Linked DNA regions of Cricetulus griseus. The protein of the gene in region 1 purifies or fractionates together with the protein of each later gene. This does not show direct contact. Links are inferred from orthologs where the notes say so. Each region holds a gene or a part of one and is shown on either strand. Other genes may lie near its edges.

Region 1 (6,476 bases):
CCTGGGGAGGCAGAGGTACTCCAATCTCTGAGTTCAAGGCCAGCCTGGTCTACAGAGCAAGATCCAGGACAACCAGGGCTACACAGAGAAACCTGTCTCGGGGAGGGGGGAGGAAACCAAGCTTAAGGAAGTATCAAAAACCTGAGTTTTGGAGAAACTAATCTTCCATTTCATTTATAAGTTCCCTAACAAAGTCCTGTGTGTTCTGAACATATGTCTCAGTATCTAAATGCTCTACTGAAAACCTCTAACTGTTGCTAAAAACAGAATTATATGCTCTGGACTGAGTCGGCAGCTATGTTTAAAGACTGTTCCTTGTTTCAACTGCCACTTTTCACTCACTTATGAAGTATCTCTTTGGGGAATGTCTCTCTTATTATGCCTGTGCTTAAGCTAACACAACTCTGTCCATTCCCAAAATTGTAAAATCCTTTTTCAGCTCTTTACTCAGTATCAGTAATCTCAGAAACCTAAAGCCTTTAAGAATGACTCCCATCACTACCCACACTGTCAGCATATTACCCAAACTACTTTGCAGTCTTGAAAGCTATATGGGGCAGGCCCTAAGGAGTAGCGCAGCTGACAAAGCACCTGATAGCATGCATAAAGCCCTAGGTTTCATCCCCAGCCCTACATAACCAGAAATAGTGGCACACACAACAGTAAGTTTAGCATTCAGGAAGTCAAGGCAGGATCAGGATGATTGGACGTTAAAGGTTATCCTCAGCTACACAGCAAGTTCAAGGTCAGCCTGGGACAAGAGACAGATTCAAAAATCAAAGAGAAAGAGTTAAGAGGCGGAGGAAAAGAAAAACAGAATGAGCCAACACATGAAATATATGGACATCCAGCTCTTAACCTAAAAATCAACATCCAAAGCAAAGTCTGCTACTGTTTCTGAATTCCTGATTATGAGAAACTACTAGCATCCAGCTAAAAAACATTCAAAGCATTTCCTTTTCACACCTCCTTCTGTGCAGCCCCCACATAATGTAAAAAGATTGGTTTCCTAGAGAAACAAAATCCTAAAGCCAGCAATAGTGCCTTCGTCCTAAAGTATAATTTCTCCCAGTCACTTGAAACTACCCTCTCTGGAGCAGTTTTCAAATTCTTTTATAAACTGTAACCATGAGTGTATACACAAGTGCAAACTGATCTTACCCCTAGTCGAGAACCTCCATCAGTAGGTAGGTATTCCCACCAAGCTAACTTCCTTCTCCTTTACATGTTCTGACTCTGAGTCTTTAATATTTTGTTTGTACATGCTCTTTTCTTCCTGAAGGAGCCCTTCCAAGATTTGGCTCAGAGACTCCAATTATTCCTGGGTAGTCCAAAATCAACACTTCCCTAATGGAAGGTGCAATGACAGTCCTTGGTATATATCATGATCTTAGACTAATAAAGATAATACATTTCCTCCTTTCCTACATTTTTTTTAAAAAAACCTATTTATTTTTACTACTACCACTATTACATTCATGTGCATGTAGGTCAGAGGACAACTCTGTGGAATCAGTGTTCTCCTTCCACCTTTGGTTCTCTGAATTAGTAAGAAATTGCCTCTGTCATTCATAAGAAAAGGTACCCCAAAGACTGAAAGTATTAAATGTTGTTATTTCTACAGCCAATAAAGTACTTCCATGATTTAAAACCAATTTGCAAAGCAGGTCCTCAAGTTTGTAAGCAACTTTGAACCGAAGCAATACACACTCAAGGTATAATTTCTTGGTTTACAGCCCCCTTCTTCCCAAAAAGCAAACTATGCAAAACTAGGTCTCTCAGTCACCTTTTTCGGAAAATGGAATACATGACTTACTCAGGGTTGCAAAATAAGGTTAACAGATCCAAAAACATGTTTTATTCTAAACTTAAAGTTTCATTCACCAATATTTTCATGCTAATTCCCATTTACACTAAGTAGAACTTACAGTGTTTTATGAAAACATATAAAGAACAAAGCATCTAAGGAAAAATAAAAGAGCTAGAAAATCCAAAATGGAAAAAAACTAAAAGTACTCAAGATTAAAAAGTTGGGACAGATGACAGAAGAGAATAACCAAAATCTATAAAAGCAAGAGGAGATAAACGCATGGTTGCTTTAGCATTCCTCAACCTGTATCTTGGAAGTTTGAGGAAGCAGTTAGAAGATAAGAGAGTTGTTACATAATGCAAAAACTAATAAACTTTTGGGCTAATTACTTTAAAAAGAGGGGGAGAACAGGGCCCAAACATTGTGAAATGTGAGAAACTTTCAATCAGACAAATTTAATCATGATCCTAAATGGAGAAATTAAGATGGATAGACAAGCCCAGGTTTCCATTCATTTCTACAGAGCATCTCTGTTCTGCCCACTTTCCATTGTCTGAATGGACCAGAATTCTCAGTCTTACACTACCTATGTTCCTTGTTACATAAAATCCCACAGTATGTTTAACCTTATATATGTGAAACATTACTTTCCTGTACCTCTAATTTAAAGCACTCTTAAGATACCTGAAATACTTTCTTTAAAGTGTGAGAAGTTTCTAAGTTGACAAGTCAAGTAAGAAAAGCCACATGCATGCCCTTTCAATCCTAGGAAAAATATACTATCACATAAAATGTATTACTCTCCCCTCAAAAATGATAAGAGAATTAGGGAAAAAGAAAGTGCTGCAACGTTTATGAAACGGTAATGCATTAAGTGCTCTCCCTGAATTCAGTCTCAAAGAGTTGTGCATCCTAGGAACTTGAACTCTCCTGAGCTACTGAAACACAAAAACATCCTCCTTATGCATCAGAATCTCTGGACTTGGGAAATACCGTATCCGGGGTACCAAGCTCCTGTGTGTACTAAACCAAAATTGGTCCTTCTCTCAAGGACAACTTCAAAAACAATAGCTAAGAAAGAAAGAGAAAAAAATTTTAAAGAGTTGATTCAAGTGATTCCCACGTGGGAATCCATGGGAGTTTCCCTGAAACAAAACCACTCTGTGCTGGATCACAACCAGTGGCCAGGAAAATGTACAGGACAGACCTGTCCATTGGGCTTTCTCGATTTCCCTTTGCTGATCAGTGTGCAGAAAGGTGCAAACGTCCACTCTGGAGACACCGCTCCTCTAAGTCAAGCCCCCTGTTACTTGCATTACTCTTGCAAACTGATGCCTTCTTCCCTCAGCAGGAAGGAAAGGTCTCCATGCCCAACCCTCCCGAGAAACAACAGCCAAACTCCAGCACCAAGCACCCACCGGCTCCCAATTGCTACCCTAGAACGTCCCCCTCCCCCGAGTCCACTCACGCTTCAGAGACGAGCGGTGGCGCTGACAATATGGGCTGGCTCCCTTCCTCCTTCGGGCTGAGGCGGCAGCTGCGAAAGGCTCGGCGCGGAACAGAAGAAGCGGTGCTAGCGTCGCTCCACCAGGCAACCACCCGGGTCTCTTCCGCGCTGCCGGGGTAGAGGCGGCGGCGGCGACCCGCTCACCGTTTTTCCTCTTCCTGGGTCTCTGCACACTGTGGCTTCTGCCCGTCCTGGGCCACTTGTCCCGGGACAGACACGATCGTAAAGCTCGATGATTTTGTTTGGGTAAAGTTTCCTCTGGGCGGAGGCTGTGGCCGGCCCCCCGGGTCCCCCCCGGCCCCGCTGCCCTTGGGGGCTGGGGCGGGGAGGGGCGCCGAGAACTCCCGGAGTCCCGCCGAGGAGCCGAGGGGGGCGGCGGCGAGCCCAAGAAGAAGCCCCCCAGAGGGGGTGAAGGGGAGGGGAGGGGAGGGGAAGGAGAGGACGGCGGCGCCCGGGCCGCTCACCACGCCGCCGCAGCCGCTTCACATCGGGGTCCCCGCCCCCCCGGCCCGGGGGTGGCTCCTGGGCTGGGGGCCCCGGCTCATACACTCCGCGAAGGGATGCTACGGCCCCGGGCGGCCGGACCGGACGGCGGCTAAGCTGGTGGCCTGGCGGGCTCGGATCGGCGCCGCCCCCGCTCGCGGCTCCCGCATGTGTCGCGGCGGCCGGGACCCCCTCCCTACACCTCGGGGGGTCCTTCGCCCCACGCCCCGGGGCGAGGCAGAAAGCCCAGCCCCTCGCGGGCGTCCTCTCCCGGCTGAGCAGCTACCAGTCCCGACCCGCAGCAGCCGCCTCCCTGCCCCCCGGCCGCGGGCTCCGGCTCCGGCTGGGGCTCCGGCTCCGGCGTGTGCAGCCGCCGCTGCCGGCCGGGAAGGTAAGGGGGGGAAGCAGACGGCGGCCGCGGCTCCCGCTGGCCCGGGCTGAGGCGAAGGTCTCGGCGGCGGTCAGTGCACGGGCGCCCGGTCTCTCGGATGCTCGCTCACTCACTCGCTCTCACGCTCTCACCGGCGGCGTCGGCAGCGCCCGGAGCTCAGCTCCCTGTCTCCCTCGCTCTGTGCGGGGCTCTCGCCTCACTCCTGAGAGGGGCGGGAGGAGAGCGGCGCCCGGCGATGACGCAAGTCGCCTAGCAACCGCTCTCCTCCCCCTCCCTTCTCTTCCCTCTCAGCGCCTTCCTTTGCGGGCCTTTACTCCCCCTCTCCGGCCACCCCGCCCTGGGAGACTGCCGCGCGCTCTGATGACGCATCAAGGGAAGAGGAAGTCGAGATCTGCGAGCGGGTGGGTGCGCCTCGGGCCGCGGGACTGCTGCTGCTACCGCCGCCGCCACCGCCGCCGCCACCGCCTCTACGGCCGCGTCAGAACTGGAGAGGAAGGGGAGGAGCCCAGGCGAGCCTAAGCTACCGCCTGATCTTACCCCTGACCCGAGGGCGGCGCGGAGAGAGAGCTCCGTGGCCGTTCCCTCCGGGGCAGGTGCGAACTGCTCCTCTGGGAACGAGGAGGCGGCCCAGGCCCCGGGGCCGGGCTAGGGCGCGCACCACCCGAAGGTGAGGCATTTGGCCCGGAGCAGGTTCTAGAACAGCGAGACGGGTGGAGAAGTTGACCCACAGCTCAGTTGCTGCACCTGCTCCAGGGAGCAAGCGCTCCACCCTTCCCGTGGCGTGGGGGTGAAACCTTGAGCCGCATTATGTGTGGTGGTGGTGCGGTGCGAAGGTTTCTTGAGTGAGTGAGTGAGTGAGTGAGTGAGTGAGTGGATCAATGAATCAATGAATGAATGAATGAATGCGTCTCGCATCGCAGTCCCAGAACTCGGCAGTGATGGTGGAAGTGCAAGCGTTTTGTAATTTGCGGCGTAGAAACCTGAGAGTTGTGATACACCCCACCCCCACCCTCGAGCTGTGAAAGGAAAGGGATGAGGCTTGACGTTGGGAGCAGCAACTTCAGGCTTTTGTGGGAAAGTAGGTGAATTACCGGGGTTGGGGATCAGAGGGCTGAAAGAGAACCAACTCTGGGATATTATAGAGTTTTTTAAAAACGTTTTCAAGGGGCGGATGTAGTCGAGCCTGTCTTTTAAGAGTCATTCTTGCTTGTCTCTTGACTTTTTTGAAGAACTGATCTTGTTCATTACAGCGCTCCTTTAATATCTTCAAAAAATTTTGGCCGACGTCTTAGGACTTACTCAAAAGCGGTCGCGCGTCCGCGCGCTCCTCTTTCTCTCTCCTGCCTCTCTCTTCTCTCTCTTTCTCTCTCTCACCCTCCCCCCACCCTTATCTTACTCTTCCCTCCCTCTCCCTCCCTTCTTCACTCCTTTCTTCCCTCTCTATCCCCCTCCTCTGTTATTAACATATTGGGCTGTTTGTCCTACAGATTCTGTTTAAGTTTTGGGGAAAACTACAGAAATTTAAACTGTGGTGCCGAAGTAAAAGAATTTTCAAGATAAAAAGGACCACAATCCTCAGAAATCTGTCTTGAGCCTGCCCTTCTTAATGGTGGGAGAATGAGATTAAAGCAGCAGCAAAGATAAAGGGAAACAAATTCCACAGTTGTGTGGCTGGACCCCTGCACCCGACCCCTGCTCTGTAAGCAGCAATGATGGATATCAAAGGCGATTTAGGTCTTCAACCTTGCTTGGGGAGATGGGACTAAATACACTATCCACGTATTTGGGGAGCCCAGGGTTTTGCCACTTCTTCCACCACTTCGAACAGTGAAATGAAGTGTCTACATTGATAAATCAAGGTTTCATTTTTGTGCAAAAAAAAATAAATGTGAATAAAGGGGGGAGGAGGATGCCACAAAAGTAAGAACGGACTCACAAGTTGCACCGGGCCCTGTTGTACTTCACCTGAAATCCCAGGAGTCAAATATCTCTCACCCTAGTTAATGCTGGGTTTGATGGTCTGCAAACATGATCCATTAAACCTGCCAAGTTCAACTTATACTCACAGGGAATCAGATCAATAAGCAATAGCCAGACATGGCTACAACATAATTATTTTGTTGAACTCTCTTCCGTACAGCAGAAATTAAAGAAATGCAATGTAGGGTTAGAGAAGTTTGTGAAGCCGAGCACCTCAGAGTTTAATTTCGTGAACTTTGAATGGGAAGAGTACAAATTGCAGAGCTCTGCAACTGAAAATGCTTCCAGAAACCTGTGTGTCATGC
Region 2 (6,574 bases), on another chromosome or scaffold:
CTTAGAACTAAGGACTCAGTTCGTTAGTAAGCATCTTGGGAAAGCTAAAATGCTCTATCAGAAAACAACCACACCACTCAATACTAAAAAAGCATCCATTAAAAACAAAAAGTTTCTAATTAAAAAAAAAAAGCCAGGCAGTGGTAGTGCACGCCTTTAGTCCCAGTAGTATAGAGGCAGGCGGATCTCTGAGAGTTCCAGGCCAGCATGGTCTGCAGAGCTAGTGCCAGGACAGGCTCCAAAGCAATACAGAGAAACCCTGTCTCGAAAAACCAAAACCAAAAAGTAAAAACCATATATGTTGACCTTAGAAAGTATTAGTTCAAAATAGAACTATCTGGAGCCTGGTCTGATGGTACATGCCTGTAATAGCAGCAGGAAACAAAGGAATGGGAGTTCAAGGCCAGTCTTGACTACATAGTAAGTTCAAGATCAGCGCTAGGGCTACTTGACACCTGGATTATATTTCATGCAAAATAAAACAGATCCTACAGCTCAAAGCCAGAAACCACAGAGTACTAACTTTCATACAAGAAAGCCTTTTTTCAAATGGCCTAAAGAGCAGCAGAGATGGTTCAGGGGGTAAAAGCATAGCCAGTCTGAGTTCGATTTTCAGCACCCACATAAAAAAACAGATGTGGCAGAGCATGTGTAACCCCTGCACTCCTACAGTAAGATGGGAAGCAGAGACCACAGAACTGGCCAGAAACTAGAGGGCCAGCTAGCTTGAAATAAGTTTCATAACAGCAGAAACCATCAGAAAAACCCTGTCTCAAGATACTCCCAAAAAGCTGTCCTCTGACCTCCATACAACACTGGCACATATATACCACACCCACACGCCCTCCTCGCACACAAAATTTTAAAGGGCTTTAAAAAAAAAATTCAATCTGTCAAAAATCTTACCAAACTAGAACTTGGTTCCCCCAAGTATATCACTTAAAGATTTGCTTACACTGAGTTTAAAGTAAATATAACTTGAGTAATTTCATGAAGGGCTATAGTTTCTTTCTAAAGTACAGCTGACCCTCAAAGTCAAGAGAGTAAGTAATATTGACGAGTTCATAATAAACTATTTCTGTGCAACCTTGAAGATTAATGACCTTTGTCCTATAAAAGTTAAATAAGGTGGTACTTGTCTCTTGTCTCTCAATATAATCTTTGATGAAGTAGTATTTAAGAGCCGCTTCCGCCCCCCCAAAAGAAAAAAAAAATAGCATATGCTTCCCTGGGTTAATAAATAATCATAAAAATAATATACTTTTGAAAAACATGCCAGATAAAGTTACATTTCTAGAACCGCCCACAGTGTCACACAAAAGAGATCAGAGCAGAACAGACTCAAAGGTAAGTTACACTTGGCTTCAAAAGTATTACATAACTATGAGAATGCTTCCAGATTCCATTTTTCTTAGGTCAATGAAAATGCCTTCCCTGGGTACAAAGTGACTGTGAGAAATTAAGGAAGGAAGCTGGGTGGTGGAAGAAGAAAGTTATTCAAAGTTTAAATCTTCCATAATATACATGGATACTTTACGTAAAGTAAAACAATCATGGTGAAATAAAACACTGAAACCATTCTTACTGCTTCACACTAATAAGGCTGTGTAAACTGTATACACACTAACACCATAATTTGTAATACCAATAACATTTTGGGGAAAATGTACAATGTTGCTAAGTCAGATTTAAAAAATAATAAATTGCTTTCACCTGATAAGTCATGGTGAATAAGGTCAGCAAAATTGGGATCTTTACCCCACCAAAATATCCACAATTCTCTTCTTCCAGGTCTTTGATCTCGACGCCAAACACCAAGAACATCTGCCTTAAGGCATCGACTAAAACTGCTCAAAATGGGGTCTTCTTCTGTCACCGGAAACAGAATAGGGGCAGAAGTTGGGCCTTGCCATACGTATCTTTTCCACTTAATTCCTGTCAGGTCGGCCTGAAGAAAAGAAAACATGATTTCTATATTATTGTACATTCACTTAAGTAAAAAAAAAAAAAAAAAATCATTATAAAGTACCTGATTTCATTAAAACATCACTATTTTCAATGCATGCCTAAGACATTTAAAGACTATGACCAAAATAACAAACATCATGCAAATAATTCTAATACTTCAACCAGCAAGAACTTAAGGAAAAGAACACACAACAGTTTTAAAAAACAGTAATAACAATATCACTGAATAGCACATCTATAATAAATACAACAACATATCCAGAATTTAATAAATGAGACAATGATGTTAAACATGCATTCCAGTACTGCACAGTATGTCTATCTTTCCTCTGCCCTACATTCTTTTCTAACTGGTCAGTCACATTTGTTCCTTGGTGAACTGAAAATTAAAGACCCTCATTCAAGTTTGTAAGAAGTCAAGGCTCTAACAAGACATCTGAACAATTTTCTAAACGGAAAAAAAAAAAAAGCCTGTTAATTCTTCACAAGCACACATCTTTAGGAAAAGAACTACTTCCAAAGAGCTGTCAGATTTGTGCTAATCTATCTTCAAAGAACCAAAGTGCCAAAAATAGATCCAGTTGGGAAAGACAGAAATGTTAAACCTGCTGTATGCTGTACATCTTACTACATGTGAAGATGCTGATTACTGGACACTGTCAAGAAATATTCCACCACGTAGAAGTTCGTTAAAGATCCCCATTTACCATTGCGAAGGAAATTCAACAAAGGAAATTCAGCAAGTCTTTATTCTAACTTAGCGACAGAAAGCATAAGGTGCCAAAAATGAAACTGCTGATACATGACTGGCAGTTTACGCTTGCCAACTAGTTATGCTCCACCCACTTAATTCACTTAACTATGATAGACTTAATATTTCTCATCGCACAGGAAAAAAAAATGAAAAAGTCACTCCAACATAAAGTCATTGACGAAACTCAGCTATCGCCTAATTAAGGACTAGATATTTGCAACAGTTGGTACTTTTGAGAGAAGTCTTAAAAACTATTGGCTATTACCCGACTGGGGCCAACCTACACAGTACAACATTCCTACATCCAGCGTCCCCAGACTTTTCAGTTCAATAAAAGGAGCAGCCAGCGCAAAACATTCTTTAAACGTAAGCAAAACAGACAAACATAGAACGTTTAGTGCGAAACCACAGTACCTCCTCCATTAGCCCCTCCACTCTCACAAAAACATAATGTTCTAATAAAAGCAAGATGGCTAGAAATTGTCAAAATGGCAAAATGTTTTCAAAGTTTAAAAAGAAAACATATGAACGCCGTTTGTACGCAAAGATCTGAAGTCACCCATAAGAAACTACCGCTGTGTTAGCTTAACTTATAAAACGAAGAGAGGGGCTTTAATACGTAAGTTTTTTGGGGGGGTCCTGTTTAAGGGAAGTCCAATTAGCAGGGAAAAGCATAAAGGGAGTGAAGGAGGGACAATCATGGAAAAGTGTGAAAAAGGGATAGATACACTGTTCGATACGGGGTGGGGGGGGTGGGGTGGTAAGTAAGAAGCACTCAAGAAAATATTACTGTCCGGCCAGATAAGAAACCCAAGTTAAGGACAAGACTACGATGGAGGGAAAAAAGCGTCCAAAACAAGACAGGAGAAGGGGAAAGACAAGACTCTTCCAAGCAGAGTCCTGGCCGGTAGGTAGGTGAGCGGACGCTGTCTCCCGGGGCGGCCGCAGAGCCTCGCAGGAGGCCGACTCCGGCGGGGCCTAGCCGGGGGACACCGGCATCTGGATGAGACCCGTACCCCCTCCCCCACGGCCCAAGGGCGCCCGGCGCGGCCCCCTCCCCCACCGCCCGCAGCCCCCGCACTCACCAGGCAGAAGAGGTTACAGTGACAATCTTCCAGGCTGGCCCCGTTCGACACGAAGGAGGAACTCATCGTCCCTCACAGCAGCCGCCGCCGGCGCCACAACCCACCATCCGCCATTACCGCCGCCTCCGACCAGAGAGAGAAACACAGACACCGGGGAGGGCGGGGGGCGGTGGGGAGGAGGCCGCCGGGCCGCCCGCCCTCCCCGCCGCCCCCCGGCCCCGGGCACCCAGCCGCCGGGCCGAGGCCGCAGGCGGGGCCGCGCCGCGCCGCGCTCGGCCGGCCGGCCGCCGGACTGCGGAGCTCGCGGACGCGCGTCCCTCTCCGGAGAGGAGGGGAAGGGATGTGTGCCCCTTCCACCGGGAAAAAAAAAAAAAAGGTTAAAAAGCAAAAAAACAAAAAACAAAAAAAAATTATCAGTTACACGATAAATAGTCAAGAGCCCGAGTCCGAGCGGGCCGAGCCCTGAAGCCCGGGAGGGTTCTCCCCGGCCCGGGGGCGCCCGCGGAGGGGCGGGAAGGGCGAGGACCGGCGGAGCAGCCCGGGCCCCCGGCCCGGCAGGAGCGATGTCCTTAAGCCCAGAGTCTCCTCGGCGGCGGAGGTGGTGGCGGCGTCTGAGGGCTCAGTCCATTCTCCGGCTGCGTCCTCGTGTTGTCCCTGGGCCAAGCCTGCCTAACGTCTGCTCTCCTGCCGCCTCACCGCCTGTACGCCGTAGTCTCCCCCATTTTGTGGGCCCAGCGGGCGGTGTTTTTCCCCCTTTAATCCGAATTCACGGGTTTTCCCTTCGCTTTAATGGCGGCCACAGGGACCAGCTCGCCCTCTCTGCTCGCCCATTGGCCGCCGTGAGGTCACGTGGGCCCGGGCTCCGTGGGGAGGGGGAGAGAGAAGGCAGTGAGGGAGAGCAGAGAAGCTTTCGGAGCCCCGGGGACCGGGCAGCCAGCTGGTGGCTACTAAGATGGCGCCATCTGCTGGATGCCCCGGTTAAGATGACCCGGGCCTTGGCCCTAGCTTTCTCCTGGCTGGAGAATGTGCAGTACAGGAAGGTTCACTTCAAAACCAACGAGAATTACTTGGAAATCAGTTCGAATTCTTTGGAAGAGAAAGTTGGCAACAACAACAACAACAAAAAATTCCAATGCATTCTCATTTATTCCATAAGGCCTCCAGGGTACAGCTCAAAACTCTTGGACTTGAGAATCAGAGCTGGATGGAGATCAGCCTCAGCCGCCCTTTATAAGAGTTATAATAACGAGGTAAAAGTGAAACAATATAGCCTTGTGGCTAGTAAACTGGGGATAAAGTCATGCTGTACAGGATTTGAAGCTGGAGCCTCTTTGAGACTCAGTTTCCTGATCTGTAAAATGAGAGAAACAAGCCTCATATTGGCGATATGATGCATTAATGCAACCAGAGTTCTAATTCAGTGCCTGGCGCAGATGAGTGCGGTAAAGCCATACACTTTTATATTGCCATCATTACTTTATATGGTTATTTTGAGGAGCAAATGAACTCTAAGAGTAAGAATCATGATAATTGGTACTTTCTTTCTAGCTGTCCATTGCCTTAAAAGGTTCCTAGCACACAGTAGGCACTTGATATTTGAAAACTTACAAATGAATGGGAAGAAGAACCACATATGATGTTAATTCCATCCCCCAAACAATCATTCTGGGCTGGCTTACTCTTCAGTGTAAGAATTCAAAAAAATTTCCTTGAGAGCTTTAAAATGATTATAGGAAGGAAGGAGGGAGGGAGGGAGAAAGGGAGGGAGGGAGGAAGGGAGAGAAGGGGGAAAGACTATTTAAAAGTTAATGACACACCTGGTGGTAGTGGCTGCTAAAATCCCAGCACTGGGAAGGCAGAGGCAGCTGGATCTCTGTAAATTCAAGGCCAGCCTGGTCTAAAGAGTGAGTTCCAGGACAGCTAGGGCTACACAGAGAAACTCTGTCTGGTGTGGGGGAGGGGGCGGATATGGGATGTTAATGACATAAGGCATGATAGCTCACGACTTTAATCCCAGCACTGGGGAGGCAGAGGCAGGGGAATCTCTGAGTTTGAAGCCATCCTGATCTACAGAACAAGCTCCAAGGCTACAAAGTGAGGTCTTGTCTTAAGAAGAGACAACAGTTAGGAGCTATCATGATTTTAAATCATAATTATCTTTTTAAAATAGTGGACTCTTCAAGATTACTTCTTGAGCCACAGAATGAAAAGTATTTTTCATCCATCTATTTGTCCATCTATGCTGATTAAGAGCTGAGATCCTAAAGCCAAAAATTTGCAGAAAATGTTCTGCCACTTTCCAGTTGACCTTAGATCAAATTTGACCTTAAATCAAATTAGTTTACCATAAATCAGGGATAATAAAAGTAGCTTTCTCCTAAAATGCTTGATGAAATAATGTTGGTCATAAGTGCTTGTCCCAGTGCATCCTTAATCACATTAATGCTAACCATTAATATAATTTTAAAATCATGACTGAGTGGTGGCACACATCTGCAATCCCTGTATTTGGGAGGCTGAGACAGGAAGACAAGGAGTTCAAGACCAGCCTGGTGTAATTGCAAGACTTCTCAAATAAAAAGAAAAGAAAAAGAATTTTTTTTTTTTTTGTATCTTCCTGTTCCTCGGGATTTCTGGAGAGGCAATAGAAGAAATATTTCCTACAGAATAAGATAAAAGGCAGTGACCTGAATAAGATATGCATCGACTCTGACACACCAGGAGCACTGGGGGAGGAGTATCCAGGTTGAGAGGGCGTCATCAAGTA

The links. Proteins that work in one complex are often made in the same cells at the same time.
Region 2: the proteins of Fbxw7 (region 1) and Med13 purify together in Homo sapiens (affinity purification with mass spectrometry; 5 studies listed by BioGRID and IntAct, with this or other methods). This does not show direct contact. The link is inferred for Cricetulus griseus from reciprocal best matches to the Homo sapiens genes FBXW7 and MED13.

The regions. Positions count from the first base shown.
Region 1 is NW_023276806.1:69,599,273-69,605,748, forward strand, and holds the start of Fbxw7 (F-box/WD repeat-containing protein 7), read right to left. Parts: upstream 4,417-6,476; 5' UTR 3,279-4,416; intron 1-3,278. UniProt on the Homo sapiens protein: Substrate recognition component of a SCF (SKP1-CUL1-F-box protein) E3 ubiquitin-protein ligase complex which mediates the ubiquitination and subsequent proteasomal degradation of target proteins.
Region 2 is NC_048600.1:99,605,412-99,611,985, forward strand, and holds the start of Med13 (mediator of RNA polymerase II transcription subunit 13), read right to left. Parts: upstream 3,998-6,574; 5' UTR 3,874-3,997; coding exon 3,808-3,873; intron 1,949-3,807; coding exon 1,714-1,948; intron 1-1,713. UniProt on the Homo sapiens protein: Component of the Mediator complex, a coactivator involved in the regulated transcription of nearly all RNA polymerase II-dependent genes.